4 linked regions of the Diceros bicornis minor genome follow. The protein of the gene in region 4 purifies or fractionates together with the protein of the main gene of each other region. This does not show direct contact. Links are inferred from orthologs where the notes say so. Each region holds a gene or a part of one and is shown on either strand. Other genes may lie near its edges. The genes, in order: NHERF2, USP12, NHERF1 and PHLPP2.

Region 1 (7,765 bases), on a different chromosome or scaffold from region 4:
CTACCTAGCCTTTCCCCCATCTCCCAGCATTCATTTTAAACCTGGATCTCCTTGGAACCCTTCCCTCCCCTCAGCCAAAGGTGTCCAAAGAGGAAGTGGGAACCCCTTGGCCCCCTTCTTCACAGACATGCTCTCCTCCTAGGGAGGAAGGGTCCTCCACCTCTTCCCCCCTCTGCATTTCCAGTTATTGGCTCCAGCCCCCATGTAAACGTACTCTGCCATCTTGAATAACAAGGACCTCCCTCCACCTGGGCCCCCTTCCAGCTCCCCCCTCACAAATGTCTGGGCCCCACCACCCTCCTGGTCTCTCCTCAGCCCTCTTCAGTGTGGGCTCTGACTCCCACAACTGTCCTGGACCTTGAAGCGCCTAGTCACTGTGCCCTGATGCTGTCTACCCTTGGAGCCCTCCTTGGCCATGTGGCAAGGTCTCCCCTTGGGGCACCCAGCAAGGGATGGAGGAGGTGTGGTCCCATGTCTGTCTAGCCAGCTGGCTTTGGGAGGCCCATGTGGAACCAGCCCCCACACCCCCCCGTTGGCCTCTGGAAGCCCCCACTTCTCCTCACTGGCAATTTCTTCTGCTCTCCTGGGTGCATCCTTCTCCCCATGTGGTCCTCTAATGTGGGGACTCATTTTGATTCTATGGACCCCTGAATTTATTTACCCTGATCCCACTCAGTTTTTTGCCCCCAGGATCTGCACTGGGGGAACAGGTGGTCACAAACCCCTCATTCTCCTCTCCCCGAGCCCACTCCCACCCCTGCTCCTTGCCAAACTCAGTCTTTCAAAACATGGGTGTCCTGAGCTTGTTACTCCCAATGCACCTCAAGGGCTTCCCACCACTGATGGGATGAAATCTATGCTCTGGGGCAAGGCCACAGGGACAGGGGGCCCTGTCCCCCAGTCTCATTGCTCCCTCCCTTTCCCCACACAGCCTGCAGGAAACTCTGGGCAGATTCCAGAACAGCTCCCTGGTCCACCCTGAAGGAGGACTCCAGGGCCCCAGGCCAGTTTCAATGCCTCTCCTTGGGCTGCCCCAGCCCTGGGCCTCCCCTGGCCAAGGTACACAGATCCCTGTTTCCAGGGGTCTCAGCGATGTTTCCCCGGTGCTCTCCAGCGCTTGGCACGAAGTGGTCCTCAAATGTTTGGTCACAAGTGCCGGGACACTTGGTGAGGGGCTAGGTTTCATGTTGCCTGGAGGAACCCTGGTCCAGATAGGTTAGTGCCAGGTCCAAGGTGAAGGAGCAGAGCCAATTAGGGGCTCGGCAGAGGCCCGGCTTCTCTGCCTACGCCTCCGCGGCACCCCTACGCCCCTGCAGTGCAAGCAGCTCTAGGGCGTCAGCCTCGCCGCAATCGCCACCCGGCGAGGCAGGGCTGGACCGAGTCGGAGCCATAGGGGCGGGGCCTAGGGCAGCCCCTCGGACGATGCCATCCCACCCAGAGCCGGGAGGTGGCGCTGCGCAGCTGCTCTTTCGGGCTACAGTCACCGCTCCGCGCCTCCGGCGATGGGCGGGCTAGGGGCGGGTCAAGGGCGGGGCCACTCTGGTCTTTGCATTCTCTCTCTCTCCCCCTCCTCCGTCCCCTCCCCTCCCCTCCCCACCTCGTCTCTAGGTATCTTGTTATCTCTTCCCGTCGCTGTGGTCCCGCCTGCTCCGATTTCGGGCTCTGAAGAGAGGCCTGGTGTAGTCTGAGGGAGGAGGCCATAAGTGAGGACTGGTCATCCCGTGGAGCCATTAATGCCCATTAGGGAGGAGGTGCCGGCCTGGGAAGCTCTGGGCCATTACCCGGGCGTCAGGCTAATGGCTCCATCCCCGAGACGGCCCCCAGTCCTTCCTCTGGCTGTGACCAGGCTTCTGCCCACCGCCACATCCCAGAGTCCCCGCCTAGGCGCAGGCTCCGCCCCACCCCTGGGGGCGTCGCAGCAGGGAGGTAGGTTCAAAGGTCAGAGGAAACTCCCCCTCCCCGCAACAGGATCACGGGGGCAAGCCCTCCCTGGGGTGAGCCCTCCCGGGGTGAGCCGTCCGACAACCCCGGGGAGGGAAGCAACGAAAGATCCACTATCCCTCTGTCCCAAGGCTTGCGCAGCAAGGTGGCAGGACAGGGATGAGGGCGCCAAGGGTGGGGATCCCCCAGACCTCTGACCACTTCCGACCCGACCTCCTCCTGCCCGCTGCTGGCCTCACTGATCAGCTAGCTCCCTAGCACATTCCCCAGCGACCCTGAGCAACTTACAGCCCCCAACACCTTTCAGCCCACACTCTGGGCCTTTGCCCTCTGTCCCTCTGCTTTGCTGCCTTTGCCCCTTTCTCTGTGCCTCTCGCCTCCATCACAGCGCCCCACGCCCGAGGCCAAGGCCAGAGGAAGAGGCCTGGGGGAGTGTGCCCAGGAGAGCTACTGGGCCCCCTTTCTTCACCTCTGTTATCCCAGGCCCTCCATACTGACCCCATTCCCTCCCTCTCATTCCTGTCCGCCCTTGGGAACTGTGACCTGCAGCTCTTCCCTGGCTGCCCTTATTTACTCTGTTGCTGTCATCCACTTCCTTTGTTACGCCCCCTTGTCACTCTAATGTTGCCTTTGTTACTCTGTTACCTTCCCTGCTACTTCCTCAGCTCCTTTTCTGCTTTAGGGCCTCCTTTGTTATTCTGGGATGCAGTGTTCCTGGCCCCTGTGACCACATGCCCCTGGCTATCCCTCCCTCCAGTGGTGTTCTGTTCCCATCCATCTTCACCCACAGGCTGAGTCCCGGGCTGCAGAAGGTGGTGAGGGCCCAAGGCTGATGAGGAGCATCTGTCCTACGGAGCGGGGAGGAGGTCTCCAAGCCTTCTGACCCAGGGGACCAGGGGACCAGGGGCCCCTACCTTCTCGACCCCCCAGCCTGGGGGTCTCCCATCCCTCAACTCCAGTGTGGCCCTGAAGCTACAGCATGGCACATTCTGGGTGGTCCTGGTTGCTATGGGGTGACCCCTAAGCCCCACCTGCTGTGGTATATGCTGGGACCGCACTGCCCGCACCCATCCTCACAGTCTCCAGGGGCAGCAGCACCAAGTTGGGTCCAGGGAGGCCAGCCACAGGCCAGACAGGCAGCCTCTGGACAGGCAAACAGACAGATGGAGGTGGCCAGCCAGGTGGGGGCCTATGGCAGCATCAGCCAGGAACTCGGAGTTGGGGGTGGGGGAGCAGCCGTGCAGCTTCGGCCTAAGTGGCTTTTAGGGGCAGCAGCTGGGGTGTGGACACCCAAGGGGCTGTGGCCCAGGAAGCTGCCCAGAGGCGGGCCCTGTGCTTGGCGGGGGCTGGGAGCCCAGGCTGAGGGCATGGAGAGGGGAGAAGGAGATGCAAGGACGGGGCCTGAGCCGACTCTTGCTTCTGCCCTCATGGGGAGCTGTCTGGGCTGGCTGTGCCTGCCCCCCCGGGGACCAGGTATGTGCAGGGGGTGGGGGGCCAGGGCTGGGGAGGGGCAGGGTGAGGGTGACCAGGTATGTACAGGGTAGGGCAGGGCAGGGCTGGGGAGGGGCAGGCTGAGGGTGAGCATGCAGCTCAGCTGTCTTCCTGTATCTGAGGCTGAGAATGAACTCCATGGTGAAGAGTGTGGATTTGGAATCTTACAGCCCTGGGCCCAGGAGAAGCTGGGGAACTTTGCCTGGGTCTCTTCCCTTTCCAGATCTCAGTCTCCTGATCTGTAAAATGGCCTGAGTCCCGTATGGTTGTTCCAGGTAAAATGCACTCAGGCGCAAGGAAGCATAAGTGATTCTGCATTGTGATTATTATTGTCCAATTGGGGGAAGAGGGCACTCATGCTGTGGGGTGGGAGTGGGGGCTGCTGTAGGGGAAGGGGAGGAGAGAGGGAGGGGAGGGCTGGGGTGGAGGAAGGGAGATCTGAAGGGGTCTGAGAGCTCAGACACCGAACTCCTCAGCACATTTCATCCCAGGTCAGGAGGAGGGTAGCAAAGACTCTCTCATCCCAGCCAGACAACTGCATTTCCTCCCTGCACTCCTTGTAGTCACAGACCAGGCCTGGGATGGGCAGGGGCACGAGCGAGGGGCCCTGGCAAAGTGAGGGGATGGTAGGGGGAATGTTTAATGGATGTATGCAGCACAGATAGGCACAAACACTCCTGAAGGGGGTAGGGGAGTCACCCAGTCACTGGCCTCCAGGTTATAGGGGAGGGCTGCTGCCATATCACTTTCAAATCCCTCTTTTGCCTCCTGGAGTGTCCTGGACTCTGGTCCCGGCCAGGGCAGCTCCGGGCGCAGGAAGGATCCAGATACACAGACAGCTGGGGTGGGGGTGGTGGTGGTGAGGGGGCTTCCCAGGAAGGTGAGCAGAGCTGTTGCCTTTGTTCTTACCCTCTGGCCACTGTGTAGGGTCCCTCGGCCTGAGGACACTTTCTCCACCCCCTCCCCCACCTCAAGAGCCCGCCTCCGTGCTGGTGCCACGCATACCGTAGGTGCTCAATAAAAGTTCCTGGAATAGGAGGCAAAGGCGCTGGCGCCAAGGAGGCTGCCCAGAGTGGGGGCGAGACCAGCGGGTCCCGGTGATTCGGGGTCCCCTGGCCCTGCAGTCCCCTACTTCCTGCGGGCTCCCCCGGGCTAGCGGGACGCCAAGGCAGGGGCAAGGCCACGACTGCTTGGGCCCGGGGCAGAGGGGGCGGCCGGGCGGAGGGGGCGGGGAAGGGGCGGGCGCGGGGGCGGTGCCGCAGCCTGAGCCCGAGCCGGAGCCCGAGGCGTCGGGAGCCGAGCGGGAGCCGCCGAGGCCGCCGCCGGGTTTCCAGCGCCGCCGCCGCTGCCGCCTCCGCGCCGTCCCCGCGCCCCTGCCTGCCGGCGGCGGGCGTGAGCGCCGTGGCCAGCTCGGGGCCGGCGGGTGGGCAGCCGGCGCCATGGCCGCGCCGGAGCCGCTGCGGCCGCGCCTGTGCTGCCTGGTGCGCGGCGAGCACGGCTACGGCTTCCACCTGCACGGCGAGAAGGGCCGCCGCGGGCAGTTCATCCGGCGCGTGGAGCCCGGCTCCCCGGCCGAGGCGGCCGCGCTGCGCGCCGGAGACCGCCTGGTTGAGGTCAACGGCGTCAACGTGGAGGGCGAGACGCACCACCAGGTGGGTGCCCGCGCCCCGCCCGCCGGGCCCTCCCCGGGGAGCGCGTCCCTGCCCCGCGCGCGCAGGGGGCGCTGAGGACCACCGGGCTCGGCGCCGCCTGCTTCCAGGCCTCGGCTCCCTGCCCGGGGCCGGGAGGGGGTTGCACAAGGGCCTGCGTGAGCTCCCCCGGGGAGGTGGGGGACGTGGCCACGGAGGCAGCGGCCGCCGGCCTCCTTCCTAGCCTCCCCCCCCAGGAAGCTCAGCCCTGCACCGCGGAGAGCGGGGGGAGATCCTGGCAGGGAGGGGCCCGCACTGCGGCTCTTGGGTCCTTGGCCCTAGTTTAGTCTTGTTTTGGACTCCCTGTGCCATGTGTGGAGGTGTCGGTTACCTTAGGGGGGTTTCCATGCAAGTGGGTACCCTGGGTGCTTTTCTTTGAGTGTGTAGACATGCGCGTGTGTACACAGACAATGTGTGTGAGTGTGCAGGTCCCTCTGGGGATCACCCAGATGTGCATACATTTATCTGTGTGTACCTGGGAGGTGTCACAGTAAGGGCACACCTGTGTGTGCGTGTATCAGTGAGTGTGTATGTGTATGTGTGTGCTGGACTGTGTGGGTGAATAGACAGGTCTTCACCCCTAGATGTGTGTGGATAGATCTGCATGCCTGGACGTGTGTGAGAGCTGGGCTCTGTGTATGTGTTGGACTGTATGTATCAATATACAGGTCTGCATGCCTGGATGTGTGAGTGTGGATAGAGCTGCATGCCTGGATGTGTGTGTGAGCTGGGCTGTGTGTGTGTGTGTCTGCCGGCCCGGCTGTGTGTAGTCATCAGTGTATGTTGGCAGGCCAGTGCCCTAGTGTGTGTCCTGGCTGATGGTGTCTGGGTCCCAGTAGGAGTCGCTACTGCTGGCAGCACATTCCTCTCTGTGGAGGCTGCTGGCCCTGCAGGGGTCACTGGCCACAGACCCTGCCCCCTGCAGCTGGAGATGAAGGCCAGAGGGAGGGCAGGGTCTCCTCTCTGCAGGTTCTGACCCCTGGAGGGGGGTCCATCTCCACTGGCCAGGGGCTCACCTGGCTTGGGTCCAGCCTCCCTCCCCCCTTCTGCTCCAGGGTCCTCTGTGTCCCCCCAGCACTATGAGTTTCTGACCCGCCTGTGTGGCCAGCCCTGGGGCCTAGAGATGAGTTCTTCTCTGGTTCTTCACTGGGCCTGGAGCTGAGCTCCCACTCTACCCTTGGGGCCCTTGTCTATCCATTTGTTTTTGCGGTCCTTCTGTCTTCCAGCCAGAGTGTCAACTGGATGAAGCTGTTTGCTGAAGGAGGATAGGGGTCAGGGCCAGAGGATTTGGCCTGACAGGCCGCGGGGAGGGGCTGGCAGAGCTGGTGCCTGGCCTCTGCGTAGCAGTCACTGTCACCCTTGCCCCAAGAGCGCCTGCTTATCCCAGGCTTCTGGGTGCTGGTCTCCAGGAACTTCACACACAGGACCACGTGGGTCGCTCTCACTGCCCCAGGAAGGAGGAGATGCAGTTACGGCTCCCATTTTGCAGATGAGGAAACTGATGCTTGGAGATAGTGGGTGACTTGTCTGGGTCCCACAGTCAGGATGCAGCAGGGTGCTGGGGTCCTCCTGTGGCTCTGTGGGTCACAGGGAGAGAGGAAGGACAGGAGGGGCAGGGGGTGGGGGGAAGGTGGGCCTGGTCTAGACCCTCCTATCTGTTGACAACTTCTGCCAAGTAGCTGATGGGGGTCCCGTCTGCCGTCCTCCAGGCCTTGGGGTGGGGGTGTTGCCCTTCCTACCCCAAAGCCCAGTGGGCACTGCCCCTTCTCCTGCAGGGCACGCACTGGCATGCATGCTCCATGGCACCCACATGCACCTGCAGAGACACACAGATGTCCATAATGCCACACTCGTCCTACAGGTGGACCTGCCCCTCCCTGCCTCACCTGCTGGGTCTGAATCCTGCTTACTGAGTTGTGTGTCGGTGCCCACGGAGGTGCCTTGTGGAAGGCCTAGAGGCAGGGGTTTAGACTTCCTTGCTCCACCACTGAGAAGGACAGAATTGGGCACAGACACTCAGACTGGGACCCAGGGAGAGAGTTCTCTCCCTCCAACCCAGACCAAGAGAGACCCTGAAACAGATGGATGTACGCCTGCACACAGACGCGCGCGCACACACCCACACACGCACACTGAAAACCTGAAGCTTGGCCGTGCACCATCTTTGTCACTTCCAGACCACTGCCTCCCCCAGCTTCCTGGTCTCTCCTGGAGAAGACCCTGGGCTGAGGCGACGACCCTGCAGCCCTGGCATCCTGGGCCCCAGTGTCAGGAGCTCTGGGAGAGGAGGGAGGGAGCGGCTGGAGCCCGGGGGTGGGGGGTGGAGCCGGCGGGCCTCTCGGTCCAGCCGCCCACCCCTGGTAGGCCAGCCGCCTGCCTGCAAGCCCAGGCGAGCCCTGGGTGGTGCCACTGTCCATGTGCTGTCTGGAGTGTTGGCCGCTGACCTGCTCCTGCCACCTGCCTGTCCCAGGTGGTACAGAGGATCAAGGCTGTGGAGGGGCAGACTCGGCTGCTGGTGGTAGACAAGGAGACGGACGAGGAGCTCCGCCGGCGACAGCTGACCTGCACCGAGGAGATGGCCCACCGAGGGCTTCCGCCTGCCCACGATCCCTGGGAACCAAAGCCAGACTGGGCACGTGCAGGCA
Region 2 (6,953 bases), on a different chromosome or scaffold from region 4:
TCCTCAGTGTCTGTGCGTGACTTTCCCTCTGCCCCAGAGACCACTGCCTTCCCCTCCCCCATCACTGTTCATCCTATTCTTCCAGTTGGTGAAGCTGCCCTCAGCTTGTCCCCCCTGCAGGTAGAGCTAGTCCCACCCCACTTAGAGCTGACAGCAGTTGGTCCTTCATTTTATCAGCTCATTTTCCATAAAAATCATCTGTCTACCCCAATGGACTGTGTGCTCCCTGAGGGCAAAGATTTTTCTTATTCATCAGTAGGTGATCAACAGATACTTGTTTTAATGAACGAACTCAGATTTCAGTTTTAAACAGAGTATAATATGGCTATGCCTTTGGTCCTTCTCTTTTAAACCTAGATTTAAATAATGACAAAGTTTTAGATATATTAGCTATACACCATCCTCCCCAGCAAATCAAAGTCATACATCCATTGTGCAGATGACTCGACTATCCTCTGAACGGGAAGTCAGCCTTGAAAAGTCAATCACTGGTCTGTTGATTCAAACCAACAGAAGAACATCACTGTGTTGATTAACATCTACCTCTGGACAGCTGGATGATGTTAATTAAAGCCACCAAGAAGGTTGGTTCATTCAGCTGTCAAAGGGCAGGGGAAAGAAGGGGAGAGATCATGAGTTTCACAGTCAGAGTGTGTGAGTGTGGACCGTGCTCTGCACAGGCTGAGCAGCGTCATGGTGAAAGTGGTAAAATGAGCATGGATGATGGAGCTCCAGGGGCACTGGAAGGTTACATTAGAGAACGCATCTGAAGTACTAATTAGGTGCCTGGCACACAGCAGAGGCTCATTCAATCTGAGGGCATAAACTGACAGCCTGAGGGCTGTGTTTGCCCACTCTGACTTTAAAACTGTTGACTTTGGCCATTCAGAGCTCTCCAGTTTGTGTTGAGTGATGGGCACTATTCTAAACACACCTCCATGTTTTATCCTCGTTACACCCCTCTGAGGTAGACATAATCATTACCTTTATTTTCCAGATGAGGAAACTGAGACAAAGAAATACTATTTGAGTATATTTTATAGCTAAAATCTGCATGTGGGTCCCTAAGGAGTCAGTGCCTCTCAACCTCATCCCACTAGAATCAAAATGAGGTACTTGAACACGAGCTGGTATAGCAGAGTGGATGCAAGTGTGGCCTCTGGAGCTAGGTTCAAATCCTGGTTCCATCGCTTACTAGTTGTGCAACCTTGGGTAAGTTATCTCTGTGCCTTTTCTCACCTAGAAAATGGGGAAATACGTCACTGGGTTGTTATGAGGACTTCATAAAATGCTTGGTGCACAGACAAGTCCTCAATAAGCACTACCTGTCATTATGGATGTCTTACGCCCCCGCCCCACACTCCCCCCAACCCCCACAACACAGGCATTTCAGTCATTTCTGTTAGCTGGTACAAAACCGAATTCCTTCAGGGAGAAGAGAGGTGGCAGAAACACAAGAAGTGACGTGTGGTTAACGGGAGACAGGATGAGTAACAGAAAACATGAAGCGGCCTGCGAGGAACTGGACAGTACAGGATTGTGTAAAAGTATTCAAATGAATCAATTTTAAAACAGTAGGCTGACCGAATGGATTAAGCTTGGCCCCAGTTTGTTTACTTCCTCAGTCCATGAAGTTATCTGAGTATATTTTGTAGTTTACCCACTCAGGAAGGCCCAAAAGAAGTCAGTTGTACACAAACCCATCTTTCCCTAGGCACAATGAAGTTCTTTGTAAAACTGATACAGTTGCAGGTAAAAGCTGTGTTCTAAGCCCAGATGACCTATTCCCAGCTCTGGGTGCAAAATGTGGTGTTGCAGCCAAACCTTATCTTCAACTGCATTACATATGGTAAAACCCCCAGTACAGTGCCCAGCACACAGAGGAATCTCTCTTACGCTCATGCCTCTTCAGTCAACCTTAGGCTCAGGACACGAGGCATTGTGAGGTTCTGCAATTAGGATCTCACCTGCAAAGTTAGACAGCTATAACACCAACTAGACACAATTCCAGATAATTCTATTAGAAATCCATTTTAAATAGGACTCATTCTTCTATAAACTTATGTGTGAAGCTGGTGGCCTCTGTTCCTGTGACTTTTTAGGATTCACAGACAAGGAGGCATGTTGGTGGGCAGCATAGACGGAGGCAGGGCTCAAATTCTGGCACATTAGACCTGTTTGCTGGAACAGAATAGCAAGTGGGGAGGACAGGATGACAACAGACATTTATCCAAGTAGGTGAGACAGATAGGATCCAGGGCCGTGGTGACACTGGTATGGGGCCCAGGCAGGCTCTGGAGATCTAAGCAGGATGGAACACAGCAAGAAAGAACTCAGGTGGGTGATACTTCTAAGTCTAGGGAGGGCAACAGGGAGGCAAGCACTCCATACAGCTGAATGTGTGGCAGTGAAGCACATGGTCCTAGCCACCCGCTTGGGTATCAGGGCAAAGAGGGAGGGCCCCAGCTTCCGTGGAGGCAGGTGCCTGGAGAACCAGGACAGCTGCTCTGGGACTTGGCTATATTCTATTTGCAATTTTTTTCCCCAAGCAAGCTTATAATGGAAATCACTATGGAAACAGCATTCATGTACCAGAAATCTATTTTTCACCTAAATTTTATTTGAATGCTGTGTTTTGTTTTTTGAATGCTTTGAATCTGTGAGGTAAGGCATATCTGATTTTGGAGCTTTGTCTGAATTCAGGCCCTCAGCCCCACTGAAATGGTGGAACTCCAAAAAGCACCCCATCATTACAGTTCACCAATTGAGAAATACCACAAGCTTTCTAACATAATAATTTATAAAGTTATTCTACTAGCTTGAACGACTTTCTCAAACAGGAAGAAATCAAGCTAAGCTGCCTGACACAAAGAGCAGGGTGCAATGAAGAATTTTACAAACCTCGAAAAGAGGGGCTATCCCACTAGCTAACACTGGGTTAAGACTTTCTCACAGTACGTTTTTCTCACTTGCGAGACTTCTTGTCTCTGGTAATATCATCGTCACTGCTGAGTGCAAATCTTCCCTATTTTGCAACTCAACTTTAAGAACAAATATACTTAGATACTCTATTTATAAACATTTTCTAAATTTATGGCCAAAAGGCAGGCGGGAAGGCAGCTTCGTCCCTCTGCTCCATTACTTACCTTTCTTCTTAATTCAAAGAGCTAAACATACATAGTTTCTTATCTCTTTCATTTTTATTCTATTAATTTGACTTTCGCCGTTATGGTGTTTTGACCCAGGTGATTCACCCAACATATGTAAACAGAAACCACTTTACATTTTAAGTGTTTGGGACATTGCATTACCCGGGTTATTTTAACCTATTTTAACCATATAGAAGCAGGTTTCTTTCCACCGCTCCCAGAATTATCCAGACCATGGTCTCCGTTTTCGTTTCGAAGTGGGGACTAGCTGTCCCCGCGCCTTCGGCAGAGGCTGCGGGTCAGTCCCTTCCAGCATTGAACCAGACGGCTGCCGCCTACCCTGCAGCGACTGGAGCCTCCCCCGGGGCCCCTCTCGCAGCCAGGGCTGAGTCGGCCCACGGGCTCTAGGACCGCGAGGGACGCGGGCAGGAGGCGGCGCCCGCCGAGCCCCCGCCCCGCTCGAGCTCGGAGTGGGGCGGGCGCCGGAGTTTCCCGGCTCGCGCGCTCCAGGGCCGGGGCGGCGTGCGCAGGGGTGGGCGGGGCCGCGGGGCCGCGCGGCCGGTGGGCGGGGCGCGCCGCGGGGCCGCGCCGCTGCCGGGCAGGCCGGGCATTAGGGCCCCGGCGGAGCCCGCTCCCCAGCGCGCTGGGCGGAGTGTGCGGCGGGCGGCTTCGCGGGCAGGCGCGGGCCCCGAGGCAGCGGCTGCGCCCTGCGCCGGGGAGGAGCCAGGGGCGGGCGGCCGGCAGGCGGGGGCTGGGGCCCGGGGCGGGGAGTGCCGGAGCGCCGGGGGTGACGACGGCAGCGGCGGCAGAGCAGGCTCGGTGCGCGGGTCCGCGGCGGCTCGGGGTCCGCCCGCGGGCTGCGGTGCGAGCGGGCGGCCCGGCTCCCCTCCTCCCCCGCCCGCTGCCGCCGCTGTGATTGGGTGGAAGATGGCGCTGGGCGGATGGAAATCCTAATGACAGTCTCCAAATTCGCCTCCATCTGTACCATGGTAGGTGCGTCGGGAGGGCGGCCGGGGACGGCCGGGACCCCCGCGGGCGGGCGGCCGGCCGGCCCGGCGGCGCAGCCCGGGTCTCCGCCCGTCCGCCGGGCCGCCCGCGGGGCCTAGCGCGGGGCCCCGCGGCCCGGGCGGGGGGCGGCGAGGCGGGCGGGGGCGGTTGGACGGCGGCGGGCGGGCGGGGAGCGCGGGGGATGAGCGGCCCCGGGAAGGGGCCAGGCGTAGGCGAGCCGGCGCGGCGCGAGGGTGACTAGCGAGGGGGTGGCCGTGCTGGACGTGGCGGGGGCGGGCACGGGGCCAGCGCCCCCGGCCGAGCGGAGAGGCGCGGCGCCCGGGGGCTGGAGCGCGGCCCGGGCTGGGGTCGGAGGGGGAAGGACGCGGGCGGCGCGCTGTCCATTTCCGTCCGGCGGTGCGCCAGGCGGGAGGGGTCCCTGGGCCGGGATGGGGGCTGCCGGCCGGAGGCAGGGTCTCGTTCCTGCCCAGGAGAGGACGGAAGTCAAGTGCACATTTTCTCCCCGCGCCTCTGGCGAGGCCGAGTCCCCCACCCGCTGCTGAGGGGAAGGGGGTGTGTGTGAAGGTGGAAACTTTAAATAAGTGCTGTTGAAATTTTTCCCATCTTCTACTCTTTCTCAGAGGAACGAGCTCTCCCTTTTCCAGCCATGTGTCCAGGTGGCAGTCTTGTCTTTGGGAATCCACGTTAATCTTGTAAAACAGCTTAAGCTTTCCTGTCGTTTGTTTACTTTAATACCCCAGCCACATCTCTGTGTGGCTTAAAGTATTTCTGTGCAGGAACTGACTGCGAGGGTTATTGTGTGTGTTTTATTGGGGCTTTTAAATAGACTTTAAGGGAAAAGTGCTAATGCCTGTCGAAAAGTTCCGATTTAAGCAAAACGTGCGTGCGTTTCAATCTTGGTGTTTTTGTGCTTGGCCGGAAGGACCACAGTCTTCCACACGATGGGGCAAATTCGTTTCGTTAGCTCCTTAATGAGCTTACGTCTAGGGATCATAATTATGAGCCGTCACAGAAGAAAGTTATCCTTTGCAACGTGGGCCTAGTGATTATGCTATTAAAGACTTCTGAAATCTTTCCTTCTGTTTTATGTCTTACTAGCCCTTTTTATGCACCCGATTGCATGTAGGAGATCCCCAAGCAATCTTCGGTTTAAGGGCGGTACATTTTATGTATCTTTATATGCGTATATATACATTTATATACCTATATATACATTTTATATACTTTAAGGAGTGGTGAATCAGATCGGAAAGATGGTTTAGAAGCAAATTCTGTACTGCACGCAGAGGGACAGTATAAAAAATGGCTGAAATCAGGTGGGGTTAAAATCTACAGTATTAAATCATATTGAATGGATCATTGAAGACTTCCATTTTCCCAAATGGATGTTTGTTTTTTTTCTCACAATTTGCATTTCAGGAAAGCATTGATATTAAAGGGACTATATTAAAAAGATTGCCAAGGTTCATTTGGATTATTTTTAGATAAGCCAATTATTAATCTGTTTTAAAAGGAATGTGATAATTAAGTCTTTGAAAGTGCTGATCTTGCCAGATTGCTGAGCTGCACAGATTGTCAGGTCATAGTTCACTGTGGGAGTCTGGGGTTTCAGGAGTGATGTGTCGTTCTTTACTGACCAGTCTTCCACTCCAGTATGTCAGGTATACTTTTAGCACCTACTGAGTGCTAGAGCCTGTGCTGAGGATACAGCAGAGATCAGGACAGCCCTTGCTTTCATGGTGTGTACATTCTAGTTGAGGGAGACAAACAATATTCAAGTAAACTTATTAATAAATATAATATGTGCTGTGATCAGATTAGGAAAATGAGGCACAGAGAGATTTGCTAAGTCAGACACTGAGTAAGTGGGGTTCTGATCTCGAGAGTGTCGGACTCCAAAGCTCTTCCTTGGGCTTCCACTCAGGTGCGTTAATTGTATGTGGTGTGTGTGTATTGTTGGCAAATACAGAAATATCTGCCTGGCCAAATGAGATTGTTCCAGAAGTAGTGTTAAAATTGGGTGTGTCTATATTCATATTCAAATAAATTCTAATGTGCTCCCAAAATAATGCTAAACATCTCAAAGTAATGTGCAGTCTTTTCTTTCAAGAAAACTGCAGCTCATCTGAGAATTACAAAATTAACAATCAAGAAAAGCAAAGATATTTACCTCCAAGCCTTGGTAGATGCTATTTTTCTAGGCTGTGAGCGCCCCCCTCACCCTTGTCTGGCGAGTTCATGCCTCTGTCTCAAGCAGGGAGACTGACCTGAATAATCCCACCCTGTCCATCCCCATCTTCCACCCCCCTCATAGAATTTCACAGCATTTTTGTAATTTTGGTAGCTCTTAATCATACTTACTGTGTTGTAAATTTTTCTCTTATCGCCTTATTGGATTCTGAAGGCATTAAGGGGAATGACTATCGTTTATTTCTGCGGTTTGGTGGAGCACTAACTACTGCATACAATAACAGAGTTTCCCAGAGTTCTTCATTCTCCTCCTGGCTATCTGAGGGAAGTGAGTTTGGTTAAGCATGGATGAGATGGAGTGGAGAGGAGAGAAGAGGGCTGAGCCTAAATAGAGTGATGCTTCTCAGAGAATCAGCAGCTGTGAAAGCGTGGATGATGAATTGGAATTAATCAAGTTTACATAATTTTTTTTCATTTGTCAACGTAAGGTACGTGGGCAAATCAGCGATATCTTTATTGGGTTGAGTAACTCTGTTCAAGGCAAATCTCTTCAGATATGTCTTATTCTAGATCACTGTTGTTCTGCTTACGTGTGAAAATTAGTAA
Region 3 (7,425 bases), on a different chromosome or scaffold from region 4:
CTCAGAAACCAAGGGGAGAGTCCAAGCAGAAAAGTCTATCCAGACATCCAGCCCAAGTTGTAAGAAAGTGACTCAGGCAGGCAGAGTGAGTGGCTCTGTCCTCACAACCAAACTATTAGAGAGTAGAGATAATAATTCAACAAATACAAGCATTGACTCTGAGCACAGTACTGTAAAGGTTCCATATGTTCCCTGACCTCAAAGAGTTGACAAATTGGAGGAACAAGACATGTAGATATAAAACAGCTTATAAATTGGATAGAAATCCATGGCACTCATACTGCCACCTCCAACTCCATGCTCATGGCAGACATCGCTAATCAATCACAGTATTTTTGATCACTGAGCCCGTATGTGGCCTTACAATCCTCAACAGGGCACTCCAGGAAATTGTTGGTGACTACCAACTGATTTATGAGGTAAAGCCTCTGCTACCTCTATCTTCCATAGAACTGAGACTTGCAACACATGGGGTTTGGGGCCACTCAGGACTGGAGAGGCCAGAACAAAGATGCAGATGAGACAATGCACAGGGCATCGTGTTTGGGGTCAGTGAGCAGGATAATCAAATAGAAGAAGGAAGGGCCAGAGGGAAGGGGAGAATGGCTGGTGCTCAGCCTCAGCCTGGCTCAGCCCACCCTCTCCCACAGGCCTGGCTCACTGAGATCCATGAGTATGCCCAGAGGGATGTGGTGATCATGCTGCTAGGCAACAAGGTGAGTGGCTCCACGGCAGGGTCAGCCCACCCCTCTCCTCTCCCACTGCCACAGCATTAGCTCTACCAGCCCCATAGCCACCCAAGAGTGTTAGCTGGACATTCTTCCAGCAAAGGACTCTTTCAGTCTCTAGTTCAGGAGTCAGACCTATTTGGCAGCTTCAGCCCATGTCACCTGCCCTCTTAAAGCTTTGGAAACGGTCCCCTGCAGGGAAAGCTCAAGCTAGTACCTGAGAGACCCACGGTTGCCCAGCTGCTCAGCCCTTATTAGATGGTCGTGATGAGGGTCACGGATGAGGAGCTAAGACTGGAAAGGGTTAGCCCCAACTACTGCCACCCCTTTGAGGCTGGCTCACCACACCCGTACCAAGGAGAGTTACCCACCTCCCCCAGGAGGAGTGAGATCCCAGGGCTGGGAGCTGGTAACTCAGCCTGACCAACCCAGAAACCCTGGCCCCATGCCCATCGTGCCACCTGCAGTCCTGCAGGCCACCAGCAGAGGGCGGGTAGTGCCTGCTCCTGGGGCAAAGAATAGGCCAGGCAGGGGCAGGGCCAGCTGGGGTCAAGGCTTCCTTCCCCAGAGTGACCCACCTGGGCTTGACAGGCGGATGTGAACAATGAACGAGTGATCCGTTCGGAGGACGGAGAGACGCTGGCCAGGGTAAGTGACTGCCTGTGGGCAGGGTGAGGGGTGGGGGCAGCCACAGGCTAGCCCTGAAGACACTCTCTCTCTGGCAGGAGTATGGAGTTCCCTTCATGGAGACCAGTGCCAAGACAGGCATGAATGTGGAGTTAGCCTTTCTGGCCATTGCCAAGTGAGAGCTGAGCAGGGAAGGGAACCGTGCGGGGCAGGGTGGCACCATCTGGGAATCCAGTATGGCCTGGCCCCCCTCCCCCGCCAGCCCCTGGGCCCAACTGCCTTCTGCAGTCTGAGGTCCATTTGCCCCGGGCCATAGGAGTGGGGAGGATGCTCAGCTCCTCAGTCCGTACCCAGCCCGTTGTTTCTTCTTCTTCCAGGGAGCTGAAACACAGAGCCAGGCAGCAGGCCGATGAACCCAGCTTCCAGATCCGAGACTATGTGGAGTCCCAGAAGAAGCGGCCTGGCTGCTGCTCCTTCTTGTGACTCCCAAGGGGCTGAGAGGAGGCTCCAGAGGCCCACGAGGATGCAGCCTTCTCCCCCAGACCTGGCTTACTCTGAGCAGCTAAGCCAGTGGGGAGAGAACTGGGGGACCCAGTGCACAGGCCTTCCTTCCCAAGAGGGAGCTGTACTACCTACTTCCTGGACTTCCCTGCATCTCCAGGGAGGGTAAAATATTTATATTTCATTTTAATGATACACAATTTAATACAAAAAAAGGCACCAGAAAGCCCAGGTAAGGACCTGGTGGCCCTTTTGCCTTCTAGTGCTAGGACTGAGGGGTCGGGGCCTACCTCCTAGCCACAATGAGGGCAGTATTGCTCAGCTCAGCACCAGGGGACACTGATGCACTTCAGTGACCCCCTTCCCACTCTCACTTCAGCTGGAGAGAGGCTTCATGTCCTCCAGCTTCCCAGGGAACAATCTTCCCCACTAAGACAGGGCCCTTGTGCTGGGAGCTAGACCAAAACCTCAGGGAAGATAGGAGATATGGAGATTGGGCAGGGACTCTGCTCCCTGGGAGGGGGAGAGAGGAGTAGCAGAGATTAGGTCTGTTTGGCTACCTCTGGCCCTACTAACGCCCCTCCAGGAGGTGTACCCTTTCCCTCCAGCCCACAAGCACACTGGGGCACCTGGAAACATTTGGTTCCTGTTCCCCAGACCTCAGATCCCAGGGAAGCCCCTCCTCCATGAATCCCTGGTCTTATCTACCTTTCTGGCTGTGCCCCTACACACCTAAGGTCCCAGCTAGGGAAAGGTGGTTCTTCTGTCCCAACCCTTTAGCAGGTATGCAGCCCCCAGGCTACTTCAAGCAGCTGTAGTGCTTCTACTGGGAAAAAACCAGATAAAGAGAAACCACCTGGAGCAGGTGGGAGGCAGAATTGAGTAAACCTTGCCCTACATGTATGCCCCTAAACCCAAGCGCTGCCTCCTCCCTGACACCCACGCCCATTTTTTCCCAGACAGACGCAGACTCAAAACTGCTCTATCTCCCTTTCTACTAAGCCAGGTTAGAGAGTGAGAGGTCATCCAATTCTGGTAAACCAATGCAATGTGTGCAAAATAAGGTCATGTGGGTAAGACTGGGGTAGGGAAGGGGCGGCAAGGAGTTACGGGAGCGAAGGTCACAACTCTCCCAAAGCCCTTACCCCAGCAATCAGAAGGGCCAGGGTACATGAAGGTCATGACCTAAAGCACCTTACTCCAGCTCTCTGGGCCATGGGTGGGGAGAGACACCTTTGCTCCAGCTCTCCAAGTCAGGGGCGGGGGAGAGGGATAGAAAGAGGCATGCACTGCACATTTCTGAGGCTACTGCACTTGCTTCCACGGCAGAAATCTTGCTCTCTGAGCAGAGTCAGCAGCTCCAACTTGGGCCAGATAAGGAAGCTCTCCCGAGCAGAGCAGGGAGGAGCCTGACCTTGCCGGCTCTTCTGGGGCCCAAGGCAGGTCACAGGCGATCCAATCATGTAGGCTGTACTGGGCCTCCAGCATTTGTGTTTTCCAGAATTAAACTGCAGTATTTTGGAAAGTACACACTGTCCCCTGCTTCTTTGAGGTGCCCATGGGGCGGGAGTCATGTTGAAAGGATTGTTATTGCATGCTGGGGGAACTGTCATTGACAGCCAAAATCACTTGATCCTCATCCTTCAATGTCCCCAACTGGTCACCTCATCCTTTACAGACCACCCCTCAGCCTCTGTGACCAGCCTCTCATCTGCAAGAAGGAACTGAAAGGTTTATCTTACGGTCCTAATCATTCTTTCTCTATTGAAAAAAGCCAGGTCTCCTTGCCCTGGAGACTATACCCAGAGATGATTACCTGACTCTGTTCTGCCTCTCTCCACCCCACCTCCCTAGCCGAACGCTGACGCCAATGCCCACGCCATTGCCCTACCTAGGTGGCCTTTTTCGGTGGGCAGCCGCGCAAAGCCTGGGCTCTCTGCTGAGACCCTCGCACTGTCCCAACCAGGATCAGAGCCCGCACTCCTATAAGCAGGTCCTGGGACAGTGCAAAGTGACTCCGCAAATGGGAAAATATCGTTATTCAGACAACTCTGCTGGGTCCGAAGTGGACCTCCGTCTTACTCCTCACACCGCTGGGACCTCGCAGCCCCGGAGCGGGAGCGGTTTCCCCGGCAACAGTCGCCCCCTCCCCCCCTCAATTGGAGCTGCACACAAGGTTTTGGCTAAAGGCTGTTAAAACGTTAGCGTCCTTTACTCGAGGGTTGGCTCTCCTCAATCCCCGCCACAGGTGGGGGAAACCAGAACAGAGCCTGCGGGCCCCTCCGCCCGGTACCGGGAACTCGCCCCGCCCCCCGCCTCAACTCCGGCCACTTGGAAACAAACACTTCCACTTCCTGAGCCCTCTTTCTTCTCCCGCCGCGGGGCACCGCGCCGAGCGCACGGCCCCGCCCCTGCGCGTTCCCATTGGCCGGCGTCCTTCACCCGGCCCGAGCGCCCCCTGTTCTTGGTCTCTGATTGGCCCGCGGTGGCCCACACCCTCAGCGCGGCCCCGCCTCCGGGGTAAGGGACCTGGGCGGGTTCTAGAACGCTCAGACGCCGCGCGGGGCGGGGATTGGTCCGCGCGCTCCTGGCTTGGCTCCTTGCTGCTCGTGGCAGCCTCTCTTGGGACACCTGCTCGCTCGGCCTGTCCGGCGGTGCGGGAATTCTCTGCCGCGCTCTCTCCCGCCCCCTGGTCCGCAGGGCGGGGAGAAGGGCTGGACCGTCCCATCTCCGGACCCCGACCCGACCCCGCGGCGCGCTGCTGAGTCGTCCCACGGCGAGATGAGCGCGGACGCGGCGGCCGGGCCGCCCCTGCCCCGGCTCTGCTGCCTGGAGAAGGGTCCGAACGGCTACGGCTTCCACCTGCACGGGGAGAAGGGCAAGATGGGCCAGTTCATCCGGCTGGTGGAGCCCGGCTCGCCGGCCGAGAAGGCGGGGCTCCTGGCCGGAGACCGGCTGGTGGAGGTAAACGGCGAGAACGTGGAGAAGGAGACCCACCAGCAGGTGGTGAGCCGTATCCGCGCCGCGCTCAATGCCGTGCGCCTGCTGGTGGTCGACCCTGAGACGGACGAACGGCTGCAGCAGCTGGGCGTCCAGGTCCGGGAGGAGCTGCTGCGCGCCCAGGAAGGGCCCGGGCAGGCTGAGCCGCCGGCCGCCGCGGAGGCGCCGCGCGAGGCCGAGAAGAGCCCGCCGGAGCGGGTAAGTGCGGGCCCGGGCCGAGCGGCGAGGCTGGAACGAAGTTGGAGGGGGGATCGGGGAGAGACCCAGGCGCCCGGGACTCCCAACCCTGCTCCCGCCTTGTCTTTCTGAAACCCGATCCTCGAGGGAGGGACTGCTTCCGCCCGCCGACTGGGCGCACTGGCGGTTGCAGGCTTGGGGCTGCGTCCCGCGACCCCCACTCCCCTTCCCAGACAGGGCTGGGACCCTGAGCGCCTTTACCACCTACACCTCTTGACCCTTGGTCTTTGGTAGGGAGGTGAGGGAGCCCGGTCCCCTTTTCTGGGTTCTGTTGGTGGGGTCTGCTCCCGTTCCTCGGAACCACGCAATCTCGCCCTCACCGCCCCAGAGGTGCCAGCTTCCTCCACGGCCCCTGTGGGTGGTAACGGAAGCTGGAGTGAAGCGAGCGCGGCTCCGACTTCAAAGAGCTAGAGGAATAACAACCGCCTTTTCTGTGCGGAGCCCCGGCGCTGGGAGGGGAGGGATCGCAGACAGGGTTCTCCCTTCCCCCCAGCCCGCTGGTGTGTATATCATTAACTTCAGGCCGGCTGGACTTCATCCTCCTCCTGAAGTCGGTCGGGTGACTTCTAGGAAAGAAGAGGAAGCCCCACCGTCTCAGGGCAGCGTGTTGGGGGCTGGGGTGCGGAGAAGAGGTGCAGAGGCCTTGGAGTGGTGGCGGCTCCACCACCCAGGAGGATTTATGATTCTCAGGAATGTGAGGAGTAAGCGCTACCTTGTATCTGGGAGCGGAGGGAGGACCTTGGAGGAAAAGAAATGGCTGGGGAGAGGGAGAGGTGGGAGTGGTCCCGTGGTACTCTACCCTCCAGCGGCCAGCGGGGCTCACCATGGGCAGGTGGTCCTGTCCTGGCATCATCTGTCTCACTCCAGTCCCTGGACGGCAAGCAGGCTGGTTGCTTTTTGCCCATGTTTGGTGTTTGCACAAACGATCCCAGTTTGGATCAGCTGCCCGAGGGGCAGTGGCAAACAGGAGCTGTGCTGAGCCTCCTGTTCCCAGAGAGTGGAGGGGGGAGGCCTCCCCAGGCGGGTTTGGCTTGCACCAGCTCTCCACCTGGTGGCAGCATGTGGCAGGGGTGTCCTTAGTGCCAGCAGGAGCCTCCCTGGACAGAGAAAGGGCACAGTTCAACCTTAAGGTAGAAGGTGGAGCCTGAGAGGACCAATTGGTTTGGTGAAGTGAGGTCACCAGGAGCCTTGTCCAGCCAGAGATGGGTGCCGGCAATGACAGGGCTGCCCGGCTCCCACTTCCTGCCGCTGCCAGGCTGGCATTGGCAAGGATGGGGGAGGGGTCGGAGCACCCCTGGCAGGGGTTTGACACCAGGGAGTTAGAACCTATGACCTCTCGTCCCAGGCAGAAGTCCAGTTTGAGCTTTGTGCTGAGTGCATCAATTTGCCATTCCCTGTTTGTTTTTTTTCATTTGGACTTTGGCACTCGCACAAGTAACGCACCCCCCCTAAGTCGCAGTTATGTTCAACTCCTCCCATTGCCCTTTTGGTTTTGCTGCTGGGTGTGTGGGGAGGGGTGCTAGGGGAGAGGCCAGACTGGAGGTTTGACCTAGCGCACAAGCTCCCGCCACACCATTTGAAAAGGCAGCAGTGCTTCCACCCCTGGAGCACAAAATCAGATCCCCCCAGATGGTGGTGTGACACCTGCATTCGTGTGTACTTTGCTAGGCCAGGAGAAGGGAGCAGAACCGCCTCCAGCCAGTCCCGGGAACACCATCACCAGGCCTCTTGGGTTTATGGTCAACAAGCAAGTCACAGAACTTCTCTGAGCCTTGGTTCTTCCATCTGTAAAATGGGAGCATTGGATTACAGTGGTACCTGCTTTCTCTAGAATTTTACAAGTATGAGAAGTACTCGAGCCCCTGGTGGATGCTGAATTGAGTTCCTTTATGCCCAAGCACTGGAATCCCAGCTCTGTGCAAGGACTCCTTTGGCCTTATACAAAGCCTATCAGCACTGTTAAGACCCTCTAGTAGGATATTCCAGTTAAATCTGGTATGGTGGTCATGCAGGTGACCCACTCCATCACTGCAAAAAAATGTTAATAAACATCCTAAGAGTTATTTTTTTTTTCCTAAAAGACATCTCTTGTATAAAGCATTTGAGTTTTACTAGTTAGTTTTAGCCTGAATTTGTATGCAAAGTAGAGGCTGTTATGGTATCTTCATTAGTTCTCATAAGTGAAAAAGATGTTAAGTGGAAAAGTGCATGCAGAGAATGGGTGGCGGTGACATATCATTGGGAAGAACAGCCCAGTGGAGAATGATAAGGGCAGAGGGTGAGGGTACCTGTAGTACTGGTCTGGGAGGATGTGGAGGGGCACTGCCAGCTC
Region 4 (7,359 bases):
AAGTCCCTTTTCTTTCATAATGTTGTAAGTTACATTTTCATTAAGCCCCATCACATCTTCTTTACTGTAAAAATATTAAAAGGCTGTTCCAAGTGGGACAGCTAATGAAGTTCTAATTATTGCAGACATATTTTTGAGATGTAAAAAAAATTTAAAATGATAAGTCTTAGAGGCGAGTGAGGAATAAAATGGATGTAAACATTTACATGGGATGCATTAGAATTCTGCTGTGTGTATTGTCTTTTGGTTGAAACAAATTATGAACAGTGACTAATAATAAAAAGTCAATACTCAATGATTTCACATTTGCTTCCTCGCTTCTTACAAGTGGATTAGAGAAGCCTTGGATGAATTCTTATTCCAGAGCTTTGAGCTAAACTTATTGACCTGTTAATGTTCCGTTTACACAGAAATCTCACCAAGAAAGGGATTTGAACAACTTAAAAAAACTTGTAGTTACAGGCAGTGAAAAGTACCATTGGAAATTTTAACTATATGATTATTTCCATGCTTATCTTTTCCACTTAGGTGAATTCTCGCACAAGGCAAAGAAGTCATATCAAGGTGACACATGTATTAGGGGTGGTCATGGGTTTGGTTATAAGCTTCTTTTTGTGAATTGTTCCAATATATCTGTGACTGGGAAGAGGAAGCCTTGACCTGTTAAAATGAATTATATTTCATGATCTGTTTTATATGAATTCTTCTATAGAAGTGAGAGTGGTTGGAAGTTGGAAGCTGCTGGTTTTCTATTACTCAGGTGATCTCTGGCAGTCCCTTGATTGAGAAAAGGGAGAGTGTGACAGTCCCCTAAGTGAGAAGGAGAAGGATGCAGGCCTTGGCAATTATCTAGTTTATGCAGAAGTGCCCTTTGGCACTGTTTGATAAGTGACATTTCTGTAATCTTTCCTTATATGTGGCTTAGTTAAAATTCATCTTTGTGCCTAATATTAAATTTAGTTGACAACTTCATCTACATGTAATTAGATGAAAATATAAAAGCTACAATAGAAAAGTTGAGCAAGTAATAGACTCCAGACATTTACTTAACAGTACAAGAAGTAGTGTTCAAATTTGAAATTCAATCCAGAAGGACCAAATTAATCTTTGTCCCCTTTAAAGGTTTTCCATGCTATTTCCTCCCGTAGCTCAATTGTCTCCATTTTCAAAAAATATAAAAATGTCCAAGGAAAAAATTCCTTCAAACCTTGAAGCCGGGTAAATACTGCCTGTTTATTTGGAACTAAAATAAGGAATGTCTAAGTCTGCCTAACCTGTGGTAGAACAACAAGGGATTTACACCTAAAGATCACGTTGCGATCATCAAACGAGTGGGAACTAGATACAAATAAGTGAATGTAGTAAGCTCTTATAGCTCCTCTACCAAATCTGATAGACATGAACTTTTCTTCTCTAGACCTTCTTTCCATTTTGTAGTGAGGATTAGGAAAAGCTCCTGGGATAAAGGTGTGTGTGTCCCTCCTCCTGCTACGTGGAGAAGGTACGCACAGCTGCTTATAGGAAGGATAGAGAGAGGAGGGAGTCTAATGACTTCTCTGTCTCTTAGCTTGGTCCAAACAGTGATTTTTGTAATGATGAACCTGCAGTGAGGGCAGATGGATTTGTGCACAAAAAATCCCAGAGGAATTTATTTTTAGGGTTAGTCTCAGCTGTTTACCATTTCCAGAAATTGTAGTTACATAACCCTTGGCATACATAATACACACTGCCTTGAACTGGGGGAGAACATGAATATGTGACCTTTGAAACAGTATAAAATGTTAATGACAGTACATGATTTGAAAAGAAAAGAATCAACTGGTTGTCCCTACTTAACTGAATTGGATCTTAAACCATGGAGACCTTTAAAGAGAGCTGCATCATAAGTTATCCCCTGTAATATCTGGGTGGTAGCTTGTTTTTTTTCTTTTTGAAAGAGGTACTACTGTTGTTCAAGTAGTAAATACATAACTTTTAGCATATGCTTGTATTCTGAATTGATGCTTTAGCCCACTATCCCATTAATTAAAAAAACAAGAAGTAGTAAATACATAACTTTTAGCATATGCTTGTATTCTGAATTGATGCTTTAGTCCACTATCCCATTAATTAAAAGAACAAACCAGTCATCTACCACTGCTCTTCCCCAGCATGAACTCAAATGCTAGTCCTGGAACGAAATCCTTCCCTTTCACGTGATCAATTAGTAAAGAGCTTCTGCTCATGAGATCTGGAAAAGATAATGTGTGATACCTCAAGAAACAGACTTTCCGGGGCCGGCCCAGTGGCGCTAGTGGTTAAGTGTGCGCGCTCTGCTGTGGCGGCCTGGAGCTCCCTGGTTCGGATCCCGGGTGCGCACCGACGCACGGCTCCTCAAGCCATGCTGTGGCGGCGTCCCATATAAAGTGGAGGAAGATGGGCATGGGTGTTAGCCCAGGGCCAGTCTTCCTCAGCAAAAAGAGGAGGATTGGCAGATGTTAGCTCAGGGCAGATATTCCTCCCAAAAAAAAAAAAAAAAAGAAAGACTTTTAGGAACACTAATTCTGAACCACATTTTTATTCTTTCCACTGCCTGTCCACCCTTAGTCAAGTCCACTTTTGTCTCCATGTTGGTGCCTATCCCTTACACACCAGTGTTCTTGCTGGAAGAAGTTACCCATTAAGCACTGAAATGGGAATCCAACTACTTTGAGTAGCTTTCTTGAAAGTAATTTCAAGGTAGAAAGAAAACCCAGGAGGTAGACAATCTAAGAGCTTTTTTCACCTTACACCAGACTCACAGAGACAAACCATTTTTAATTCATTAAAATGAGACAAAGATTACCGGCAATTGGAATTTTGATATATACAAAGTAACTCACATAAAGGGAGAAAATAGTGACCAAACTTTTACAGAAGAAATAATTTGTACGGGGTCAGAATCTTTGCAAGAGTCAAATTTTGTCTTGGAATTTAAAATATCTCCAAATGCATACATATCTCATAGGAGAGGGGCACAGTTAGATCTCAAACTCTCTTGTACTAAGCTTACAACTAAACCATTCTAAACATTTAGTTTGGACTAGGCAAGCTGAAACAATGGCTAATAGGTGATACCATCTTTACCAATTATTCAAAGCTCAAGAAATTATGGGGGTTTTGCTGCTTAATTCCTTAATGTGTGCTGAACAAGTTGCTTAAAGATTCATCAACACCTGTGTAATGGGGGGAAGACCTAAAAATCCGGAAGTCTGGAAAGTTTCCTAGGAAAATTTAGAGCAGAATTAACAAGGAGAGTACCCAACCAGGAATTGAGTGAATCTTAAATTCGGAAATTCAGATTACAGTGGCTACTATGAATCCCTATAACTTGCTAAGCATTTTGTATGCATTCACAAAATCTTCCCAATAACCACTAGGCAGATATTAATTTCTATTTCACAGCTTAAAAACCAAAGGCTTAGATCAAATAACTTGCACAAGGGTATAGATCTAATAAGAGGTAGAGCTGGGATTTGGAATCTGGTTTTCTAACTCCAAATTTGGCCCACTGGCCAGCCACAAAACTACCATTAATACGGAAACTAAAAGAAAATAATAAATGAACTTTTAAAGATTTTCTGAATTAGTCTTGCAAATAATAAAATGGCTCACAGACCATATTACTGCTTGAGACAGAGAATCGAATTCTGATAATTTTACTATATGAGGAGAGAAGGGAATTAAAATTTGGCTGGGAGGTGAGTTGACATTTTGTACACGAGGTTGGTGTGAATTTGCTGAAGAAGGTCTGAGCAACTCTAATAAGGAAGACAAAGGGCCTTGCAAAGGTGAGTATTCTCAACAATCCATTCCATGGCTTTGCCAGTGAGGGTGACAAGCCAGTTTTGAAGTAGCAAGAGAGGAAACGTCTTGGAGAGGTAAGTTACAAGAGTTACCCTCTGCGGAGGGCAGTGTCCTATCACTATTGACAGGTGCAGACACCCCCTGCCCCTTGTCCAGCGGGTACTTAGGAGGCGGGGATAGCAGTAAATAACCCTCCCTGCGCCTCAGTCCTCCAAACCGAGGGCAGTCAGCAGCGGAGACCCAGCTCTGTGGTGGCGCCGGCTTCGCCCGCGGGGTCCGCGGCAGCCCGCCCGCCATGGACGCAGCTCCGCGTCGGGCGCCGAAGCCCCGCTAGGCGAGCAACTACGCAGGTCCGGCTGGGCCGCGAGAGGGGCGGGAACAGGGGCGGGGCTTCGGGCAGCGGGGGGCGGGGCCTAGGGCTGATCGCGCGCGCCGCCGAGGCTCTGCGCGCTGTCGCGCCGGCCCGGCGTCCGTGTGCAGCCGCCGCCGCCGATGGGGGAGGTGGAGCTGGGGCCCGCGGGCCCGCTCGAGCCCGCGGAGCCGCCCGAAGCGCCCGCGAGCCGCCGGGCGGGCGGGATCCGGGTCCTGAAGGTGAGGAGGGCGGGAGGGCTGGGGAGGGAGCGAGGGCGGGAGCGGCCGCCTCTGCCCCGCGCGGTGGCCGAGGCAGCCGGCGACCCCCGACCCGCGTCAGTCAGTCCGCTTGGCGGCTCAGCCGCCCCGCAGCCCCGTGGGGGCGCCGCGGCCCCCGCCCGGGTCTCCACGCCTGGCTCCCGCCGAGGCCTCGGCCGCCTCTGTCCCCACCGCTGCCCATCCCTGGCCGCGCGCCACCCGCCGCCCAGGCCCACGCCTTGGGTCCGGCGTCCGCCCGGCCGCCGCCGCCCACTCGGCTCCTTCGGGACCGGGGGGCCCACCTCTGCCGCTCTCGGCCGCGCTCGGGGACCGGGGCCGGTCGCTCCTGGCCCGAGAGAGGGGCTGGAAGTACGCAGGGCTTTCTCCCCGGACACCTGAAGACATCACCCCAGAGGGAGGATGGCGGCGGTGATTGGCCGGGAGCCGCGGTGTGCTCGGGGCTGCGCCGGCGGAGCTGGCCGACTGTGCCCCCGGGCTTACCACCCAAGTTAAGACACGGCTGCCTGCTCCGAGGCGCCCGCCTGGAGAGCGAGTCCCCGGAGGAGCTTCATCCTGGGGAGTCGCTGGGCGTGTTGCAGAAAGGAGCAGGGGTTGGACAAAAAGGGGCATTCCTGCTTGTGGGAGCGGGGCTAACAATCCCGGGAGACGGTAATGGGGGAGCGGTTATGCAACAGGCAGCTCGCGGGGCTTTTTGGCAGGAATTGGGGGGAGTAGGAGGAAATAAAAGCAGATGCAGGCAAGGGGGAGAGTAGAGCCTTGAAGGTGATGAGAAGTTTAAATACACAAGGAATGTAGGGTGGCGAGGGGACAGTGAAGATGGTTCAAAGGAGGAGTTGTGGGAGACTAACTGGATGGAGTTTTCTACTAGCCTTGAAATACGTAGTTGGAGAGAAATTTTTCTGTAGGTCAGATATATAACTAGGTACCCTGGAGATGGAATGAAATTTCTTCTAGAATTCTAGAAGAGGAATGGGCAGGATTTACACTTGCCAGGGAGAAGGAAGAGAGAAAAGAAAATTTAGAAGATTTGATGTGTTTCAAAAATACTTTGCAAAACAGTGAAACTACATATTAAAAATACATTAAGTGATAGTTGTTAATTGGGATTGAGAGTGAGCACTGTATTATTAAGATTATTTGTAGGACATCACAAAGATGGGAACACTGAAAAAAATAATAGATTTGAAGCATCTGGCGAATTCATGAAACAACATAAAATAGAACTCTGTAAAATATAAAGCACTTTTCATGCTACTACCTCCCAATCTTAATAGAGATTATAGAGAAATAACTTACAGAAGTAGCTTCATAGTTTACCTCCATTTCTGTGTACAGCTTCTACATATTTATTGTAACTTTAATTTAACCATAAGTTGCAAATATAATTCCTCAAAGGCTTTTGGATATTTATTGAAAACTGTAAGGTCACAAAAATGTAAATTGTGAATGTACCAAAAAAAAAAGTTCTGCTGGCCTAGTTTATCAGGAAATGGCAGGTCCAAGACATAGGTAATGCCCTCTAGCCTAGAATGTAAACAACCTTGGCTGTTTTCTTTTTGGTGAGGAAGGTTGGCCCTGAGCTAACATCTGTGCCCATCCTCCTCTGTTTTGTATGTGGGATGCCACCACAGTGTGGCTTGATGAGCGGTATGCAGGTCTGCGCTTGGGATCCAAACCCTGGGCCACAGAAGCAGACTGTGTGAACTTAACCACTAAGCCGGCTGTCCCCTTTGGTTAACAGGCTTTTTTAATAACACCTTTTTTTTGGTGGGGAGGGAGTGAGTTGTGAGAAGGAAGGAATTGAGAAATGAGTATCTTTATTGAGGGTCCTGCCTTCCTGTACTTCCAGGAAGTGGTCCAGCGTATCACTCTTTTCCTGGGGTTCCAATCTGGGGACCATTAGAAAGATTCGAGAAATTGATCTTGATTATAGTACTGAGCTGGTGGTGTGGGAGCTGACAGTGTCTAAAGCTTTTGCATCCCTTGCTTTATTGCGTATGGTCAACACTTTAAATAATTCTTACAAATAAATGGGATTGGCTATGGAGAATAGGTGCTGTGTGTTCTACATACAGAAGTTCCATTCAATAGCTGAGTGGTTGAATTTTGTGCCAAGTGAAACTAGAAAACATATAAGTAGAAGACTTTCTGAATTGGGAAGAAAGTCATCATCTCCTACATGTTCTTCTCTGAAGACCCTTTGAAAGGCTTATTCTTTTTTGTAACTCTTTTATACTTAATACCAAATCATGAATATCATTGTTATCAAATAACATGATCTTCATAAAAAGGCTAATATATCTAAGCCAGTATAGTTTAGACAGATTAGATGTAGGTTCATCTGTATGGGGTATTGGAAAATTTGATTCAAAATCTGCTCCTAGATTTATTTAGCAAATTGTTATTTAGAATGTATCCCTTTATAGTTGTAGTTGGAATATAAGTATGATGTTTTGAGTACTCTTAAGATTATTGGGAGTATCTTTGAAGCATAAATTTTTCAGATGTTCCCTCCAATTTTGGGATTATTATTATTTTTTTACTCAGTTTGTAGAAGAAATGAAGTTACAACTAATCTAGTCAGTGAATGTTATGAAATCTGTTTCTTCAATAATAGTTTCAAGTTTTTATCAAAATAATGTGTGTATTTGGTTTTTAAAAATCAACTAATACCAAAAACATTTTAATGAACTGAAGTATTCTTCCTGTCCTTATCTCACCCCTTCCAGAATATTCCTTAACATGTATATTCCTAGAGATGAGCCCATATTGTTTTAAAGTTTTGAATGCAGCAACATATCTCCTACTTGAGGTTATTTCACATTCTACTAGAACTCAGTGAGTATGATGAGTTACTTTACCAGACCGTTTTACCATCCGTGTCTTAGAGTTAATTGTATGTGG

The links.
Region 1: the proteins of PHLPP2 (region 4) and NHERF2 purify together in Homo sapiens (affinity purification with mass spectrometry; 3 studies listed by BioGRID and IntAct, with this or other methods). This does not show direct contact. The link is inferred for Diceros bicornis minor from reciprocal best matches to the Homo sapiens genes PHLPP2 and NHERF2.
Region 2: the proteins of PHLPP2 (region 4) and USP12 purify together in Homo sapiens (affinity purification with mass spectrometry; 3 studies listed by BioGRID and IntAct, with this or other methods). This does not show direct contact. The link is inferred for Diceros bicornis minor from reciprocal best matches to the Homo sapiens genes PHLPP2 and USP12.
Region 3: the proteins of PHLPP2 (region 4) and NHERF1 purify together in Homo sapiens (co-immunoprecipitation; 3 studies listed by BioGRID and IntAct, with this or other methods). This does not show direct contact. The link is inferred for Diceros bicornis minor from reciprocal best matches to the Homo sapiens genes PHLPP2 and NHERF1.

Annotation. Positions count from the first base shown.
Region 1 is NC_080765.1:46,385,785-46,393,549, reverse strand, and holds the start of NHERF2 (Na(+)/H(+) exchange regulatory cofactor NHE-RF2), read left to right. Parts: upstream 1-4,762; 5' UTR 4,763-4,871; coding exon 4,872-5,084; intron 5,085-7,590; coding exon 7,591-7,765.
Region 2 is NC_080748.1:10,498,873-10,505,825, reverse strand, and holds the start of USP12 (ubiquitin carboxyl-terminal hydrolase 12), read left to right. Parts: upstream 1-3,944; 5' UTR 3,945-4,090; coding exon 4,091-4,138; intron 4,139-6,953. UniProt on the Homo sapiens protein: Deubiquitinating enzyme that plays various roles in the regulation of the immune response and inflammation.
Region 3 is NC_080757.1:55,334,970-55,342,394, forward strand, and holds the start of NHERF1 (Na(+)/H(+) exchange regulatory cofactor NHE-RF1), read left to right. Parts: upstream 1-4,421; 5' UTR 4,422-4,637; coding exon 4,638-5,054; intron 5,055-7,425. Other genes in the region: RAB37 (ras-related protein Rab-37), read left to right, coding at 651-716, 1,320-1,376, 1,454-1,530, 1,733-1,838. UniProt on the Homo sapiens protein: Scaffold protein that connects plasma membrane proteins with members of the ezrin/moesin/radixin family and thereby helps to link them to the actin cytoskeleton and to regulate their surface expression. Necessary for recycling of internalized ADRB2.
Region 4 is NC_080771.1:23,615,658-23,623,016, forward strand, and holds the start of PHLPP2 (PH domain leucine-rich repeat-containing protein phosphatase 2), read left to right. Parts: upstream 1-4,353; 5' UTR 4,354-4,416; intron 4,417-6,390; exon of another isoform or gene 6,391-7,293; intron 7,294-7,359. UniProt on the Homo sapiens protein: Protein phosphatase involved in regulation of Akt and PKC signaling.